Callithrix jacchus: one gene and its partner. The protein of the gene in region 1 interacts with the protein of each later gene in a biochemical or structural test. Links are inferred from orthologs where the notes say so. Each region holds a gene or a part of one and is shown in the gene's direction. Other genes may lie near its edges.

Evidence for each region.
Region 2: the proteins of APBA1 (region 1) and CNTNAP4 form a complex in vitro, tested with the Homo sapiens proteins (2 studies listed by BioGRID and IntAct, with this or other methods). The link is inferred for Callithrix jacchus from reciprocal best matches to the Homo sapiens genes APBA1 and CNTNAP4.

The regions. Positions count from the first base shown.
Region 1 is NC_133502.1:95,473,079-95,477,564, forward strand, and holds part of APBA1 (amyloid-beta A4 precursor protein-binding family A member 1), read left to right. Parts: intron 1-953; coding exon 954-1,133; intron 1,134-3,410; coding exon 3,411-3,623; intron 3,624-4,486. UniProt on the Homo sapiens protein: Putative function in synaptic vesicle exocytosis by binding to Munc18-1, an essential component of the synaptic vesicle exocytotic machinery. May modulate processing of the amyloid-beta precursor protein (APP) and hence formation of APP-beta.
Region 2 is NC_133521.1:33,671,103-33,676,144, forward strand, and holds the start of CNTNAP4 (contactin-associated protein-like 4), read left to right. Parts: upstream 1-1,622; 5' UTR 1,623-1,896; coding exon 1,897-1,981; intron 1,982-5,042. UniProt on the Homo sapiens protein: Presynaptic protein involved in both dopaminergic synaptic transmission and GABAergic system, thereby participating in the structural maturation of inhibitory interneuron synapses.

The DNA.
Region 1 (4,486 bases):
CAAACTGTTCAGGGTTATAGGGATGTGATTTATCAGCAACAGAGATCCCAAACGGCACTGATGTTGATTTTCCAAAGTCATGAAGCTTCCTCCTGGTGAAGTATTAAATGAAGCAAAATACCATCTTCTCTTAATTTACACAGTATTATTATGTTGATTTTCCATAGTCATGAAGCTTCCTCCTGGTGAAGTATTAAATGAAGCAAAATACCATCTTCTCTTAATTTACACAGTATTATTCTTGAAATGTTCAATGTGTATTAGAGCCACACAAAGTCTTGGCATTTATGTATAAATTGAAGTTGAATCCTGGACTCAGATAACTGTAAACAGGTACTGCATATACATGAATGTCCAGTGGGATCTGTGAAGATGGTGCAGGGTGTAGAATGACTCATCACTATATCAAGCTGTTTTTTGCATGGCAGGACATTCAGCATCTCTGACTCCTGTCTCTTGAATGCCTGTAGCTCCCTTATGATCATTGTCATAATCAAAAACATCCCCAGCCATTTTTTTTTTATTATTGAGATGGAGTCTTGCTCTGTTGCCTGGCTGGAGTGCAGTGGTGGGAATTCAACTCACTGCAACCTCCACTTCCCAGGTTCAAGTGATTCTCTTGCCTCAGCCCCCTGAGTAGCTGGAACTACAAGCACATATACCACACCCAGCTAATTTTTATATTTTTGGTAGAGACAGGGTTTCACCATGTTGGCCAGGATGGTCACAATCTCTTAAACTTGTGATCCACCTGCCTCGGCCTCTTAAAGTTCTGGGATTACAGGCATGAGCTACCGCACCCATCTCCCAGTCATTTTGAAAATGGCCCCTGGTGGGCACTGGTGGCCCCATGTAAAACCACTGGCCCAGCAAGTGTAATGTCTAGGACTTCTTCCAAACTCCAGCAGTGCACTGCCCTGCTGACCGTCTTTCCTTTCTGGCTGCTGTTCCAGGCTCAGCTGATTGCACAGTCCATCGGACAGGCATTTAGTGTGGCATACCAGGAATTCCTCAGGGCCAATGGGATTAACCCCGAAGATCTCAGCCAGAAGGAATATAGTGACCTGCTCAATACCCAGGACATGTACAATGATGACCTGATCCACTTCTCCAAGTCGGAAAACTGCAAAGATGTGGGTACTTTCCTGAAGCTGTTCTCCAAGCTGGGTCAGCTGGGCAGGGGCCTGGAAAGGGGGACACCCTGCTGCGAAAGTGAAGGCAGATCAAGGGTTAGGAGTGAGGTATTGTCAGGATATCGTGAAGATACTCACACCCATCTCTCATTCCCTGCTTTGGGGCCCTGTTGTGAAATGCTGTCGTGGACAGGTGTAAACACAGAGGCAGCACATCCTCTGCTCCTGGTCATCCTGAGCTAAGGTCATCCTGATCTAAGTTTTGGCTGGGTCACAGATGCAGATAGGACCTGAAATCTGCCTGTACAAAGCCTTCAATCTAGGTAAGGGCACTGAAAAAGCACTAATCAAAGCCAACTACACTTGGACAAACAGAGATCTTGGGTTTTAGAGAAGAGATGCTGGGCTCCTCTGGGGATGTCTTGTGGCTTCAGACTGAGCTCTTCAGAAGTGCCTGTAAGAAGATGAGGCCATCCGAGCTGGTCTGGAGGATTGGGGATTATAGAGGAAAGCCAAGGGTAGGGTCTATGGAATGGTTGGAAGCCTGGAGGTCAGAAGGCTCCAGATTTATCTGGGAAATGAGGAAGTATGGTTTGGCTAGAGCAGGAGGTGGGCACAGGAAAGGAGATAGATGGACCTGAGGTCTGGGTCAGGACTGGAAGGCCTACAAGTCCTGCTGAGAGGTTTGGACTTGATCCCATAGGTAAAAAGAACTTTTAATGAGAAAGTGATCATTTGATCCACTGGGGTCTGTCAGGTGTCTTAGGTCAGATTCCCCAGAAGCAGAGCCTGAGGCAGGGATTCTTGTTGCAGAAGTTTACTGAGAGAGTACCTAAGAACAGAAGGGATATGGGAAGCAGGGTGGTGGGACACCAAGGAAGGGTGTGGTCCCCTTGGCATGAGCTTCCTTCTGAGCCAGAGGGAAGCTCTAGGGCACAGATCGTATAGGACAGATTTGTCTCACCTTGAAGCGAGGGATCTGGCAAGCCTTTGTACACCATGCCAGTCATTGACCAAGACTACACAGTGGGTAATGTGAATTTATTAGGGCTGCTATCACAAAGTACCATGAACTGGGTGACTTCAGCAACAGAAAGGTATTGTCTCACAGAACTTGTGGCCAGAAGTCCGAAAGCCGGGTGTTAGTAGCGTTGGTTCCTTCTGGAGGCCATGAGAGAAGAGTCTGTTCCAAGCCTCTCTCTTTGGCTTGTAGATGGCTCTCTTCACCCTGTATCTTCACATCATGCTTTCTCTATGCATGTCTCTATGTCCAGATTTCCTCTTATTTTTTTGATACCCATGACAGACAACCATTCCTCTTCTTATGTAAGGACATCAGTCATACTGGATTAGTGCCCCTATTAATCACCTCATTTAAAATCGGTTACCTTTGTCAATACTTTTTTTCCAATAAAGGCACAGTCTAAGACACTGGGGATTGGGAATTCAACATACAAATTTTGGGGGGACACAATTGAACCTTAACAGATGTTTCTCGTTCAACTAAGGACAGTTCTCCAGGGAAGGGGCTGAGTGTGAGCTTCAGCAACTAGGGGAAGCAGACACCAACCTGTGAAGGGGACATTGTCAAGCCCTCCAAAAATACACATGCATGCTCTTTGTTGGATGCTTCCAGTAGGTGTGTTACCTTTCTGTGGCATCTCTGCAGGCCTCCCTCAAGTGCAGGTATCCAACATCAACTTCTGTCTTCTCTGGCCTGGCAATGAAGGTTGTAAAAACGTCTCTGTATCCAAGATATGCACTTCCTCTGTGCACACCCAGCCTTTTGATTGTGTTAACTTCAGCATCACTTTTTTCTCAACTTTCCCCTTGAAGAGAAGTGTTTCTGTATGTTTATTTATTTTTAATTCAAGACACTTAAATGTCGAAGAGAATTGGTGAAGCACTGTGGGAGGGCAAACCTGTGCATGAATTTGAAAAGCTATTTCTAGAAACCATAACACACCAACCACCCACAGATCCCCTTCTCCTGCCACTGAGGACTGAAGAAATTTAAAAAAAAATAGTGACCCTCATGGTTGTGCGCTGAGGCAAGTTTGCTTATGTGAAACAAAAGTGAATTAAAAGAGTGTAGATCTGGGTGAATTCATTTCTTAAAATCTCCAAATGTGCAGAATGCCGAGAAGATGAATTCATCTGGGTTGGAGTCCCCAGGGAAGTGTCTTTCTTTAGTCAAGACAGGAATGGGGGAGAGGCTTTGATTTCTACCTACCCCAGATGGTTACTGATGCAGGCTTTCTAAATGTCTCCTTCCAGGTTTTCATAGAGAAGCAAAAAGGAGAAATCCTAGGTGTGGTGATTGTGGAGTCTGGCTGGGGATCCATCCTCCCCACCGTGATCATTGCCAACATGATGCATGGTGGCCCTGCAGAGAAATCTGGGAAGCTGAATATCGGTGACCAGATCATGTCCATTAATGGCACCAGCCTGGTGGGCCTGCCTCTGTCCACCTGCCAGAGCATTATTAAGGTACCTGAATATGGGGAAAATCAGCTTCTATGGTAGACCTGAAGTGATGTGAAGTGTGGCCTCCATCCAGTCATTAATGTATATGAACAGGCACCAAGAAAGACATAAACACAAAAGACGTGGACTTGCACTCAGGAAGCCTACCATCAAGTTACTGTTTAGAGATTCTTCCCTGAAATTCATTTAGATCAGGAGAAGCATATTTGATTCACATGACACTACTTTCTGATAGCAGCACGTCCATCACAGGCATCACTAGTCAATCACAGCGCACTCCCACTAAGCCCAGACTCAGCCTCAACAGAAATGGCCTCAGCTCAGGAATCTAATCACTAGTAGCCAGATGCACTTGGCATGATTTACCATCCCTGTTAAAAAATCACCAAAATCCTTCAAATCTGAGAGCACTTTTTCCTTCTCAGTGGCCCTGACTATGATGCAGGTGAGTTTGTCCCTCCTCAGAGCCCAGGTAAAGCAACTCACATATGCTAGTTGCTAGAAAAAGAAGGAAACTCTTTTCAGTCCATGGATGCTTTTTCATACCTGAGCATACTTCCTGTTCAATCTGAACTGATACTTATAAGGCTAAAAAGAGCTACTTAAAGGAAAATTAAATGTGGATATTTGAGAAGAAATGAGATTTTCTTAAGACACGAAGCATCCATGTGGAGTCTTTTGAGCACACTGGGACTTGCTGATTGCATGGCCAGTGTGACTGCAATGTTCCTCCTCCATGACATCACCTGTAGACCCTAATGGCTCTGCACCAAGTGCTGTGGCACTGCAGGTAGACTGAGATCCCACAATTTCTTTTGGTCCTGCAGGCCTTTCCTGAAAGACTTAGCTAGAACATAGCTGTGTGC
Region 2 (5,042 bases), on another chromosome or scaffold:
CCTCCAGAGTAGTTGGGATTACAGGTACCTGCTACCACACTCTGGTAATTTTTGTGTTTTTAGTAGAGATGGGGTCTCACCATGTTGGCCAGGCTGATCTCGAACTCCTGACCTCAAGTGATTCCCCCCACCTTGGTCTCCCAAAGTGTTTGCTTTGTTTTCCTTGGGCCTAAGTTTTTTGCTGCCACTGATAAGGGTCATAAAGGAGGTATACCCTGATTTAGGGGCAATAAGTCATGTAAAGAACGGTGAAACTGGAGTCCAAAAAAAAAAAAAAAAAAAACAAGTCCAGTCTTCAGCATTAACTTACTAACTCTATGACCTCTTTGACTCATTTATAGTCCCTGTTCTTGTTTTCTCTTGTAAAATAGGAAAAGAAAAACTATCCATTCTGCTTTGTTTGCAGGCATGAGCCAAATAAGTACGTTTAGTTTTTATGGGTATTTCTGTCATTTCCCCACTCTTTCATCATTCCATAAGAAAATGTTGTTAAAGGCTTATGTATCTTCCAGTTTGTAATTACCAAGAGGTGCTTGAGAACTCCAGGATTTCCATTTCTATAAAATCTAGCACATTATCAGTAAAACCTCTTGACATTTATTTTAAATAGATTATTTTTCTGCTTTGAACCATGTGACATGCTTCTTGTTATGTGTTAGTAACTCCATTATTTAGACATTTTAAAATTCCATTCAAGAAATAGTTGTATCCATGGACCAGCCATTCAAAGAGCAATTTTTCTTTAGTCATTGATCTTTCGAATTCAACTTTACTCCTCTCTCCTTTAAGCCACTTGAATTACATTATCACATTGCTCAGTGTTGGCGTGAGTGTGTATGCGTGTGTGTATGTGTAAGGGGGGTCCCTTTCTTCAGTATTCCATTATTTGCTACTTTGGGCCTTTTTGGAAATGTTATTAAAATTTTTGATTATAGAATGCTACTGCATAGTCACAGCATGATTCATTTGTCAAAATAATTCTAGTCAAAATGTTTCATTTGTGGATTTGTACACCTGAAGGATTAAAATAAGAAATGTTAATTTCTTGCCGACTATAACCAGATAATTTTAAATATCTGCCAAGCAGGAATGTCTGTTCCCATGTGAGGAATTTCCATAATAAAATCCTGGCACCCTCGCTGAAGAGTATAGTTGTATAGAAACAGAGAAAAACAACAGCAAGTTATTTTCCCCGAGGACGGTTTTAGCTACAATTTCCCAATGCTGCTTGGTTATTTCTGTCTTATTTTATGCTTTTGTTTTGAAACATAATGCAATTTTACCTGGATGCACTCCCGGATAATCAGGAATAGCTCAGTATGTTGCCTGGCTCTGCCAAATGCAGGATCTCCAGAAAATCAGAAGGCTCCACCGCCTGGTCCCTTCCCCCACCCACACCTCCAGCTGGGAGAAAAGGGTTAAGGATTATTGGAAAAAAGAGGAGAAGGGAGGGAGCCCCAAGGAGGCCCACGAGCGGGAGGCCGCACCTCCGGGAGCGGCGGAGCTCCGAGCCCTGTTGTGTGTTTGGAAGGAAGGATACTGCTGCCAATTTCTGGGACCGCTGCTGCGAGGAGTGGGCGTGGCCTCGGCGATGTGGATGCTTGTTAGGAAAGATGCTGAGTGCTTTTCAGTGAGGAGTCAGGGCGGTGTGTGTGTGTGAGAGAGAGACAGAAGAGAGAGAGAGAGAGAGAGAAGGGGAGAGAGAGACGGAGAGCAAGAGAAGAGAGGGAGGAGGGAAGGAGAAAAAACGGAGGGAGGTGAAGAGGAAGGGAGGGAGAGAGACAGAGACCTAGAGGGGCTGAAGACCCAGACAGAGCTGGGAGAGCGACTGAGAACAGGACTGGAGCGCTCCGAGAGCCTCTCAAGATCTTTTGGGGGAGCCCAATAGATGTGAACATGGGATCTGTCACGGGAGCTGTCCTCAAGATGCTACTTCTGTTATCTACTCAAAATTGGAACAGAGTCGAAGCTGGGAATTCCTGTAAGTATACCGCAAATGATTTAAAACTTGCAGGGGGGCTCTCTGCAAAACTTTGATTCTGTTGTTTTGGTGATGATGATTTGCAGCTGGGATTGCTGCAAAGCATATTGCTGTAAACGAAGCATCACTTAAAAATCTTGCCAATGTGACCGGTTAACACTTGTCTCTCCTCTGGATCTGGTCAAAATAGGCAAAGTGTCATTTCTCTTTTTGTCTACTTGCAGAATCTTACCCTCTGGTCTTTGAATATTCATTGAGAATGTCCAAGTTCTAGTAAAACATGAAATTAACATCTTATCTTGGGAATAGCCTGTGAATGTCTTGATTTCTTCCTCTTTAAGGAACTACTGAATTTTATTGGAATTATGTCTAACAGGAAAACAACCATCAGACTTTACATTATGCTGCATTGGCTTAGATTTCTGAAGTTTGCAATTGGGCAGACCAGTAGCTGGCTGCATCTTTAAAATGATGCAGGCTAATAACTGAAATGTACTGCAGACTTGAGGAGCACCAGCTCTGGCAGAGGCAAATCTCAGTATTAAAAGCTGTGCCCTCGCTGCTATGAGAATGAGACTTAGCACTCTCCTGAAAGAGGGGCCTCTTCCTACATTTTGCTTAAAGGAAAATTGGTCAGGTGATCTTTCAAAAGTAGGATTATTTCATGGTTGAGTGTTTAACTACAAAAATTTGTAATTGAATGTTCTGATGAAATACAATGCATTCAGGGAAGATTGAAACCTTATTTACAGTTGAGATATCATCCAGAATAATTTGGCAGACTCCCTTTGACCACTCTTCATTAAAGATAGAAAAAGTTTTAAAAGTTACCTTTGGCTTAAATTTTTTAAATGGGAGATTTTCCCCCTCCTGATGAATGACAAACAAGTTTGGCAAATACAACTTTTTATTTTTTCTTGGATTTTAAAGTAAAACTTATTTGCTTTTCAAGAAAGGGCTAGGAGGCCTGTCGAGGAATTTATGGTGCTGCTGTATCATCAGATTCAGATTTGGGGAACAGAAGCAGTCATCAGGCATTTGCTGTGGCACATCACTTGACTATACTAAAGAGCTCTGATGTGGGAAAAACATTACAAATTCATGGGCACAAATCAAATGTCGGCTCATGGAGCCTGGCTCCCGCGATTTCATGTTTCCATTCAGAATGAGCTCATTTAATGTCACAGGGCATCCATCACTCTGAAAGAAGGGAACTTCACTGCAGGTGCTGCACATTGGATTCAACTTTAGTTTGAATGTTGTGATAATCTCATGAATCAGTAAATTGTGTATAATTTCACCAGTCAAAACCTTGGAATCTTATAACGGTAGCATTTGACAAACATTTCGACATACATGCAAATAACGACAAGACAAATGCCCACACACAAATGGAAGTTGTGTAGAAAAGGCATAAGTAATTCATCTTCCAACCACTAAAGTTCAACTAAAAAGAAATGCACTAGAGGTCACTCTTACAATGTAAAGCACATCACCCCAAGCATTCTTCCCTCAAGAAAAGCAGAGCTTAAATCTGGCCTCTACTCAGTTCAGTCTTTCATTAGACTGCCTGTAGTTGGGTTTATAATATACTAATCTAATTAATCGGGCTGCTGGTTGTTTATGTTTGTTTTCTTGAAGCTGAATAAAAAGTGTAGGATGTACATCAACATTAAATAGCTTTCTTTTGCAATATATCTTCTTAGAAAAGAAAAGATGCTTACAAAGATCTGAGGAGAGTTTAATATTTATGACTGCTTGGCTCTGGTTGGATCCCCCACTGAAACTTAACATTTCTGTGCTGGTTCTATATTCTTTCAGCCTTGGTGTGTTTAGGAAGTAATCTAATGCTCTTTTAAACATCTTATGAACTTGCAAAACCTATACAATTTCTCATTATAAGGAACATTTAAAGTTGGAGTTCTTGGTTACCATACATGTGGCATTGACTGTTGACTTCAAGTGTCAAAAATAAAATGAAATGAAATGACCTTCTATAATTAAAGTTGCACTTAGTAATTTCTTGTGAATATTTTCACAGTATGATTTGCAGCAGTATGTGTAAAAGAAAATATTTCATTTCTCAATTTTTATTTCATTTTTCAATATTTAAGAAGCATTTTCTTTTTGGAAGAAGTAAGATCTACTTGTACCAAGCCATGCTGTAAAGCCCTTCATATGTTTCATCTTTTTTGAAAGAACAAGTGTATGTATGTTTTCCAGCAAGATTGGGAATTTAGTGTAAGACAAGCCACTGTCAACCAGCATATGTATTTTTAAAGTATTATGATAACTCCAGTAATTCTTCTGGACAAGACTATATTAACAGAAAGTGAATCAGTCTTGAATACCAATAGTAAAATCAGAACGAACTGAATATAAATGAATAAAATTAAAGGCCTATCTCTCAAGTGACCACCAAGACCTTTCCCCTTTATTTACATCTGATGAATCAGGAGCAAATCTGTCATCTACAGAGTCAGCCAAGGTTGCCAATTTGAAAGCTTTCATGGGACAGAACTCTGCCAAACCAGTACAGCTCAGGGATTAGGTGCACTTTAATTTGAATGTTAATTGCTCCAATTAATCAGCAGGGAAATTTTACATTAGAGGGATTCTGTTCAAAGACAAACATATATATTCACATATATGTATATGTGCTCATTTTTATATAGGTATATGTGTATATAAATATCTATAAACTGCTAGACTCATATGCTTGCATATTTTTGGTGGCCCTGTTAAGTTCTTATCTGTCTAAAGATGAAATACGTTCAATGAACCGTATTCTCTACCTACTTGTACCCTGTCTGACATTTCAAGAGCAGTGAACTATTCATAACTTTTTTTCCTTTGTTCTCATCAAGATGAGCTTTTTGAATTATATTGAAGTGTCCCTTTCATCAAAGTTTAGAGATGGATGTAGAAGGGCATACTCTTTGAGAAGCCGCCCTGGCTATTCTTGGTTTCTTTGCTTGCTACTAAGAGACATGCACTAAGAATGAAATATTTCTCTATTTTTTAATTGTTCTTATAAATCCAGTTTTTGAACATTAAGATG